Linked DNA regions of Macaca fascicularis. The protein of the gene in region 2 purifies or fractionates together with the protein of the main gene of each other region. This does not show direct contact. Links are inferred from orthologs where the notes say so. Each region holds a gene or a part of one and is shown on either strand. Other genes may lie near its edges.

Region 1 (4,457 bases), on a different chromosome or scaffold from region 2:
TCAGGAAGCCAGCTTAAAAGAGGCTCTACTCTATGGTGTAGCCCCTGAGCTGGAGGGTCCAATTTTGTCTTAAGCTCCAGACATTACATGAAACCAGTTTACATCACAACTTGCTATGTATCCATTTACTCTAACATACCACCAATTAGATTATGTACCCCATAATAAGTAGACAAGTTTTTTTGTTGTTGTTGTTGTTGTTTTTGTATTTCAGCATTTTGATTATGCCCAGGGAACTGTTTCTTAATGTCCAACATTTTGTCTTGCTCAACTCACTTTCTCTTTGCACTGGGCAAAGGCACTGTTGTTATAGATTGTATATAATGAAGAAAATGTTTATTTGCCCATTAGAAATAAGACTGGGAAAGAATTAATCTAAATATACTTCTTTTCTAACAAAAATTACTTTCTGAAATGCTGAAATGCTTTCAGGAAAAAAAAGAAAGCGTACATGTAACTGTGGGCTATAGGCCTATAAAACACAAGTGATTTACTGAGATTTCCACAAGATTTCCATAAATAGCAAAATAGTAAGTGGCAGTGTGCTCTACATTTTCAAGTGAACAGGCTGGGTCTCATCTACCGGGCTTCCTCACCTGTTTGAGGGCCAAATGGGGTTTGTGGCGGCCCATTCTGTTGTGATTGCTGTAAAGGACGGCACATAACACATCTGTTTCTGCATCTAAGGTTTGGCTCTTCAGTGACAGTGTGACGAGATGGCATTCTTTAATTACAGCTGCAATGCAAAGGTCTGAAGCAGAAATATTTAATAAGATTTAGTACATATTTCTACATTAAGTATGTTATATTAAAAACACACTGAAAAAAAGCATCTTCCCTTAATTGTTTTAAAGGAATCAAAAACAAATGTAATCTGTCTCAACTGTAAGAACATAAGGATTCCAAGTATAAGAGAAGTTGAAAAATGGTAACAGATGATATAAAGTCCAGGAAATCATTAAGAGAACATCCGTTAAACAAGAAGTTGTATCTTTACATTGCATTTTATCATGGTTTAATAATCTTTCATATGAATACTTTGCTGTCAGTCATTTGGTGTACACTTACGCCTCATGTGTACACTTACGCCCCCACCTTGGAGGTGGGGCACATGTCACTACAAGTGTAATAATTCTCTAACTCCCCATGTTGCTATTCCCAAAAGCAAGACAGAATGAATAAATTCATAGTCTTCAAAATCAAGGCTTCTGTGTTTGGATATCACTTTAAGAGAGACACAAACATATTCAGAAAAGAAAAACCACCACAGTAACTGGAAATCGTATTATTTGATGAACGCCTGACTGAACAACCGGTGCTCATCAGCAGATGCTTCCTAGTCTGAAAATCTGTAGTAGTCCGTAAGATGTAGTTCATGTGATTTATGGCTCTAAAGGCAGCACTAGCATTCCAGGTGGAAGTAAAGGCTGGTTGCTACCTAACAAGAATTTTCTTACTGTCCCAACAACTATCTGAAGACAGAATGGGCTGCCTCGGGGATGGGTAGTGAGTTGGTGAATTTCCCATGCCTAATAGGAATTGTTAAAGAATTTCTGAATAGAGAAAGAGGGAAGATTAATCTGTCAAGTGTGTAGGACGGACAGATGGGATAATCTGTGAAGTGTGTAGGATGGATATATGGGAAAGGGGATGTGATGATCTAAATCAAGTTTTGTCCAATCCGCCTTATTGTGTTGTTCTGTTTTGTTTTAGGCTTTTTGCAGCTTAAAGTCATGGTTTTTAGTTTGTCTCTAGTGAAAACACGGATGAGGAAAGGGCTTCACCAGCCCAACCTGAAACAAAGAACCCATGACTGACTGTATTCTCCCACTTGGGCCCCCGAGCTACGTATTTAACATTAGTAACAGCTACCATTTGAATGTTCATTTACCATGCCAGGCAGTGTTCCAAATGCTTTCTCTACATTATCAACTCCTTCATCCCCCTAAAACAGTCCTATGAGGAAGGTACTACTTTTATCTCCATTTGAAAGTGAGATCAGTGAGGCACAGAAAGGTTCAGTAACTCCCTCAAGCTCCAGCAAAGGGTAGAGCTAGTATTCAAACCCAAACAACCTGGCTCCTGCGCCAGGCTCCTACCTACTATATGCCCTTCACCCTAACAAATACCATCCATTTAGGTGGTAAAACACTGTCGTTTACAGAGCACTGTCTCCTACATTACATCGTTAGATATTCCCGACGCCCCCGTGAGTAGGAGGAGGACTAGCTCCATTTCACAGATAAGCAGATAGCGGTCCGAAAAGATCGCAGTTTGAGTCCCAGTGCTTGGGTGACGTCAACCGCTTCTCGGGAGCAGGGGGCAGGAAAAAGACGGAAAGGGGAAACGGACGGAAGGGTAAACAAGACTCCCAAGACCCGGGTGAACAAGGGTTCCCAGGCAGCACTGTTCCCAGGCACCAGCTGAGTCCACCTCTCTCCGCCTCCTCAGCGCACGGCTGAGCCTTAGTCCTTCATCTCTCCAGCCAAGCCCTGCATTAGCACAGTTGGTTCAATGAACGACTGCTAAGCCAGAGGCCCTACGAGCTACACCAGTAAAGTGCTGGCACCGCTCGACCCCTACGTGCCCCGCGCCCTCTCCCAGCGTCCCCCGGGCCCGGGAAGTCCCGGTACCGCCCCCGCCACGTGCGCCGGCCCGGCCTGGCTGCCTCCTCCGGAAACGTTCCCCCATCCTCGCCCGGCGCCTCACTCACCAAGGGTCGCGCCGGGGTTCTGCACTGTCATTGCGGTGCGGCTCCCCGCCTTAGGAATTCTCACACGGTTCCAAGGTTCCGGGCCCGGCAGTAACGCAGCCATCTTGCGAGGCGGGTAGATCTAGGAAAGGCGGAGCTACGCGAGAGCACGTCTAGCGACCGGAGGTGGGGCGATGGGACCTAGTCCAGGTCTGAAGGGAGCAGGGGGCGGGGCTCGGGCGGGGCCAGGAGCCGGGCGGGAGGCGGCCTTCACGGAGTAAACGCGTGGGACTGGGAAGGACCCCGTAATCTGTACATTCGTTACCAATACGTGGCCGCGTAGAATCATGGGAGAAAAAAAGCGCCATCCCAATACTAACCAACAGAATCTCTGAGAATGGGGTGAGGAATCTGCATTTTGTTTAAACTTCACGCAGGGGATTCGGAAGCACAACCAAGTTTGGAACTATTAAATACTTCCAGGCATTTTACACATATGGAAAATGAGGCCCAGAGGTGAGTTGGTGCTTTTACCCCCAACTCTGCCTCAGACATTAGGGGAAAAAGGAAGAAATGAAATAAAGAGGTTTATGCAAGGTGTGGAATTTTTAGCCAAGAACAAGTGATTTGCTTTGAGTGGTAAAGGAAGGCTCCTTTATGTCTTGACCCACAGCAAAACCGAGATCACATCAAAGAAACTTGGAAGACACCTGTCTGTCATTCCCACTTTTGTCAGTCTCCAAGACAAGATCATATTCCAAGCTCTAGTGATCCTTACCTCATTAATATCTTTCTAATAATTCATTTATCCTCAGCCTTGCTAATGCCCCCTTAAGTTCTTAAGACTCCCACAGTAACGTATTAGAAAAACAGTGTTTTAGAAACAGACTGCCAAGGTTCTAGTTCTAGCTTTGCTGTTTACTAGCTCGGTGATCTCAGGAAATTTACTTACCTCCTCCTCCAGACCTTAGTATCCCTGTGGGTAAAATGAAGATGATAATAATAGTATCAATCTCACAGACTTGTAAAATGCCAAGGCACTTCTGGCATACAAACAATAACCATGTACCATAGTTAATATTGTTGATGTTATTACTACTATTTCATGCAAACAGTCTTACTTTATTGAAACACTTTCCATGCTCTTTCTGTGCGCATTTACACATCTCCTTACTCTACCTGGGTCATCCTCGGAAACAATCTCCCTTCCTCAGCTTTGGGGTCTTCACTTTGGGCAATTCTTCCTAAACACCCCATTCTCACTCCATAATTTGATATAGAGGCCCCTTTAATGTATTACCACAGTGCTCTATGTTGGCTTATGTATTCGTTTTCTACTGATGCTTTAACAAATTACCACAAACTTAATGACTTGAAATAAGTAGAAGTTATTTTTCATTTCTGGAGGTCAGAAGTCCAAAATTAATTTCACTGGACTGAAGTTGACAGGGCTGGTTCTTTCCAGAATCTCTAGGGAAGAATTCATTTCCTTTCCTTTTCCAGCTTCTAGAGGTTGCCTTCATTCCTTGGCTTATTTCACTATCCTCCATCTTCATTGTCAGCATGACATTTTTCAGTCTCCTCCTCTTCCTCTCTCTCACCCTCCTGCCTGCCTCCCTCTTAAAAACACCCCTGTGATTACATTGAGCCCATCAAGATAATCAGGATAGTCACTCCATCTCAGAATATTTAACTTAATCACATCTGTTTTAGAACTCCAAATTCAGGCTCATGTCCCGGATGGGCAGCTGATGCCAAATACTGA
Region 2 (4,213 bases):
CCAGAGCTGGTCACACACACTCATCCTCAAATCAGGTGTGTCCCTTCTTCCTGGCACAAAGACAGCCAAGTGCCAAAACTACCTGATTCCAGGCACCAGAGACCCCCAGACCCCACGGGGTGTGGGGGACAAGAACCCCTTAGTCCAGGAGGCCAATTCCCAGGGGCCCTTTTCTGCCCCCATATGCCAGGCCACCCGGATTCTGGTTTCCCTGTCACCCAATCTGGCTAGTCCCCTCCATCTGGCCCCCGGAGTCAGGTTTCTGTAAGGTCCCAGCCCTGCTCAAGAGAGGGCCTGCCAGGCTCAAAGGAGGAGCGAAGCCTGGTCCCACCCTGCCCTCACAGGCCCTCTCTGGGCCGGAGCCCCTCATGGGGCTAGGGACGCACATTCCTCAGGCTGCCCAAGCCCGCTTATCTGCCCCCTGCCCATCAGCCTGAGTGCTGACAGAGGCCCAGACCCCTTGTTTGGATGCTGATAACCTCCTGCGATGGCCCTCCCCCACCTGCAGAGACTGAAAACCGGCTGAGTGTTGGGAGGTCCTCTTCCAGCAAGGCAACTGGGGCCCAGGCCCCTGGTCCTAGCCCAGGGTCGTGAGGGTAGAAGATCCCAGAGTTCTCCACCCTCCCCCAGGCCCAGGACCACCCTGGGTGCTGCCACAGTGCCACCTGGCGGTCCCTAGGGAAACATCACCTAGCACAGGAAGAAGCCACACAGGAGCTGCAAAAATCCCACACCACTTTATTTCAACCTTTATCCAAAAATGTAAAAACTATTAAAAATCTGTAGTTCTGAGTTTCCGGCACTAACTTCTAATCCTCACAGACAGGTGGGAAGAGAGGCCCCAAGAATGGTGCAAGATCAGAAAACCAGGGCTGTGTGGAGCACAGGCCCTCTCCTAGCACCAAAGACCCAAGTCCCTCCCACCCAAACCCCACCCAAGCTCTCCTCTTCAAGGAAGAAGAAACATTTACAATTCTTGAAACTTCTCGGGGAACAGGGTTCATGGCGGTGCATGGCGCATGGAGCTGACCTGAAAAGAGGAAACAAGGAATCAGCACCTAGGCCCTCAACTGCTTCTCCCGCCCCTTCCCAGAGCATGCTGGGCACTTCTCCCCGCAACTCACCAAGGAGGGCTAGGGCCTGCCCCCCTGCTTTTTGGCAGGAAGGATGGGGCACAGCTCAGCTTCTTCCTCGTCACTGTCTTCTTCTTCTTCCTCGCTCTCCTCCTCAGAAACATCATTGCTCATCGTAACTGGTGGACACACAAGCAGTAGAAGGATGGGATGTTAAGACCAGACACTTTCACACCGCATCCATTTCTTCATGCCCTGTGGTTCTAGGCTTGCAGGGACCCTGACCTCCCAGTGCTTATGGGCTAAGTGGGAAGAACCTCAGACCCTGAACTGGGTCACAAAGAGCCAAAGGAGTCTTCATCACTGGAGCTGGAGAAGCTGGGCCATGTTCCATGGAGGAGGTAGGCTTGAGTAGACGGAAAGGAGAGGGCATGTCATGCACAGGGCACAGCGTGAAGGGCACGCAGACCTGTACAGGACTGCACTGGGAGATGAAGGTGGGATGGGGCAGGAGTGCGGAGTGGGGGAAGCCTGATGGGAGAGTCTACTGGAAGCAAAGGAGAGGGCCCTTTCCTCCTCTCACCAATCTGGTGCCGCCCAGTGATCCGCACAGGGCCAGAGCCCGACTTCAGGCGGAAGGTTACAGGTGGTTGGAGCTGGAAGTCGTCCAGACTGAGCTGGGAGGAAGACAAGGATGAAGGCCTGGCCCACTCCTAGCCCACCCCACACTGTAATGAGTACTGACGTCCTCAACCCCCTCACCACCACCACCACGAGGGTAGAGCTGGGGAACTCACCATGGGTTGGCAGGACAGCTTGAGGTTGGCCACAGGGACTGCGATCTCCTGATGGTCATGGTTCCGGGCCACAACTTCTACCACATTACACTCGTCTTTGGCTCCCTCGGTGAGGCAGAGCTGGGAAGGGTACACAGGGTCTCAGGGTCTCCTCAAGCGAGGGCTGACACCACAAGTAAAGGCATCTACCCTAGCACCTGCCCAGCTTCAGAGGTCCCGGTTCACCTGGCCAGGGGAGCCGCCCATGTCGGGGGGTTAGGCTGAGGAGGTGTCTCCAAGTAAAGGGGGTCCGGGGGTTGGGTAGAGACATATATTGCTTGCCTGGGCTTATTTATTGAAACCCCACTCCCCCGCCCCTCACCATGGTTAGTGCCAGCACGTGCTCCGCATCATCCTCTTCCTCTACCTTAAAGGTGAAGGAGCGGGTGTGGCCGGAGAGCTCACAGCCTGGGAGAAATAACAGTGAGTATGCCTGAGCGTGTGTACGGGGCTGGGGGTGGGGGATGTCACCAACCCGCGGTCACGTGTAACCTTGGGCGGACGAGCCATTTACACGTCCACCTCCTTCTCTTCTCTCAGAACACCTGGGGCGCTCGGCCGTGGGCCCCGCCCAACACATCTGGGGCAGGGATCTCGCCGCCCCCTTCGGCTGTGCGTGCGAGGCCCCCTCTCCTCCAGGAACAGCAAAGCAGCCCTCCGCCCACACCCACGCCGTGAAACCCTCCGCATTCCGCCTCTCATCCCTACCTCTTACCGCCCCAGTACCACCCTCAGCCTCTCCCTTCCCCAATACCGAAGAAAAAACTGTCCATAGTGACTGGGGCTGGGACCCGCAGGCCCCCGACACCCCCGGCCCGCGTTCGGCTCTCCTGACTCAAAAACGCCAAGGCAGCTGCTGTGCCGGCGGCCATGCTGCAAGGGCCTTCTCCAAACTCCGCCCCCGACACGCACAAAGCCGGGGACCCTCGGCCAGTTCCGGCCCCGCCCATTAAAGGAGACGCTCAGTCCCGAGAGAAAAGGCACCGAGACCCCGCAGCCCTACCCGGAGCCCGCAGCTTCTGCTCGTATTGTATCAAGACCGAAGAGAAAGGAAGTAAACACCACAGAAGAACGGATTTGGGATTTATGTTAACATCCTTGCTCATTTCCACGACTACGAGGGTGTCCACTTCCCCAAGCTCCTCGCTCTGTGTCGGAGGAGTGTCTCCCACTCTTCCAACCCAGGGTAAGCTTTCGTTAAAGGAGGTATAGATACAAAAGTTAACTCTTCTTACTCCTCCTCCCAGCAAAGGTGGGGTTCAGGGCAGTGCTTTTCCGCCACAAGCAAAGGAAATGCACTCAGATTGTCTTTGCCTCAAGAGAGCCGAGGAGCCTAAAGACTTTCAGTTCAGTAATTTCCATCCTAACACGTGTGTCCTCTCGGCTAAGCCTCTCCTAGATACTCTTCCTGCTCCAATGACCCCGCAACTTGTTATGCCTTCACTGAGCCTTAGCTGCTAGCAGAGAACTAGTTAGTTCATGTGTGTTCTGTTCCTGGCCGACCCACGCGTTTTGAGCTTTTAATTCCAAATCAGCCAGAAGTTATCTTTGCGCCCTGGATTGTCAGTTTACGCTACTCGCGCCATCTTTCGCCTTTTAAGAATCAGGCCAACTGTGTGCTTTTTCCCAATAGATAGCAAAAACTCAAACAAGAGGCCCTATTTCACACCCAGGTTGTAACTGTGGCAAGAGGGTGGGGTGGCTTGGCTAAGAACCAGTCTACTTTTCTTAGCTCTTGCCCTAAGGAAAATCTGGAAGTGATGGGAGGTAGGAGGGCTGCCTTCAAGATCCAATCTCTAACTTGGAACAGCTGTGGAGAGGAGGCATACTGCTTGTAGGTGAGGCATGAAAGAGAGAAGGTAGGGCGCAGACAGGAAATAGATTCACACAATACAACACGACAAGCATTCACTTCAAGTTTTATTTTGCCTCTTGCATGGTCTTTTACAGTTCGTTTTCTACAGGAACTGAGCTCTGATCTAAACAATCAATAAAAATGTCATTCCAACCTTAATATTCATAACCAGGAAATAGCATAGCACTTCATGATCCTAGAGTGATGAAAGCAAAGACCAGGACATCTGTTTCACAGTTACCTGTGACCAGACCAGCCAACATGATTACTAAAAGCCAAGATAAAACCAAAAGTAAACTTACTAAAACATCCTGATTCCATGAGGTTAACTCTGAAATCCTCCAGACAAAATGCTAGAATTGTCCACTACTGTTAAATACGAGAAAACTGAGGAAAATTCAGCTGTCTTACTATCTAGTAGGGGTCTTCCCTTCATCTCAAGCCCTCAA

Evidence for each region.
Region 1: the proteins of NPM3 (region 2) and RMP64 purify together in Homo sapiens (affinity purification with mass spectrometry; 4 studies listed by BioGRID and IntAct, with this or other methods). This does not show direct contact. The link is inferred for Macaca fascicularis from reciprocal best matches to the Homo sapiens genes NPM3 and RMP64.

Annotation. Positions count from the first base shown.
Region 1 is NC_088376.1:170,123,632-170,128,088, reverse strand, and holds the start of RMP64 (nucleolus and neural progenitor protein), read right to left. Parts: upstream 2,843-4,457; 5' UTR 2,817-2,842; coding exon 2,714-2,816; intron 1,204-2,713; exon of another isoform or gene 752-1,203; coding exon 597-751; exon of another isoform or gene 1-596. UniProt on the Homo sapiens protein: May play a role in cortex development as part of the Notch signaling pathway. Downstream of Notch may repress the expression of proneural genes and inhibit neuronal differentiation thereby maintaining neural progenitors.
Region 2 is NC_088383.1:110,764,308-110,768,520, forward strand, and holds NPM3 (nucleoplasmin-3), read right to left. Parts: upstream 2,791-4,213; 5' UTR 2,782-2,790; coding exon 2,664-2,781; intron 2,318-2,663; coding exon 2,232-2,317; intron 1,991-2,231; coding exon 1,871-1,990; intron 1,751-1,870; coding exon 1,657-1,750; intron 1,253-1,656; coding exon 1,134-1,252; 3' UTR 1,125-1,133; intron 1,031-1,124; 3' UTR 719-1,030; downstream 1-718. UniProt on the Homo sapiens protein: Plays a role in the regulation of diverse cellular processes such as ribosome biogenesis, chromatin remodeling or protein chaperoning. Modulates the histone chaperone function and the RNA-binding activity of nucleolar phosphoprotein B23/NPM.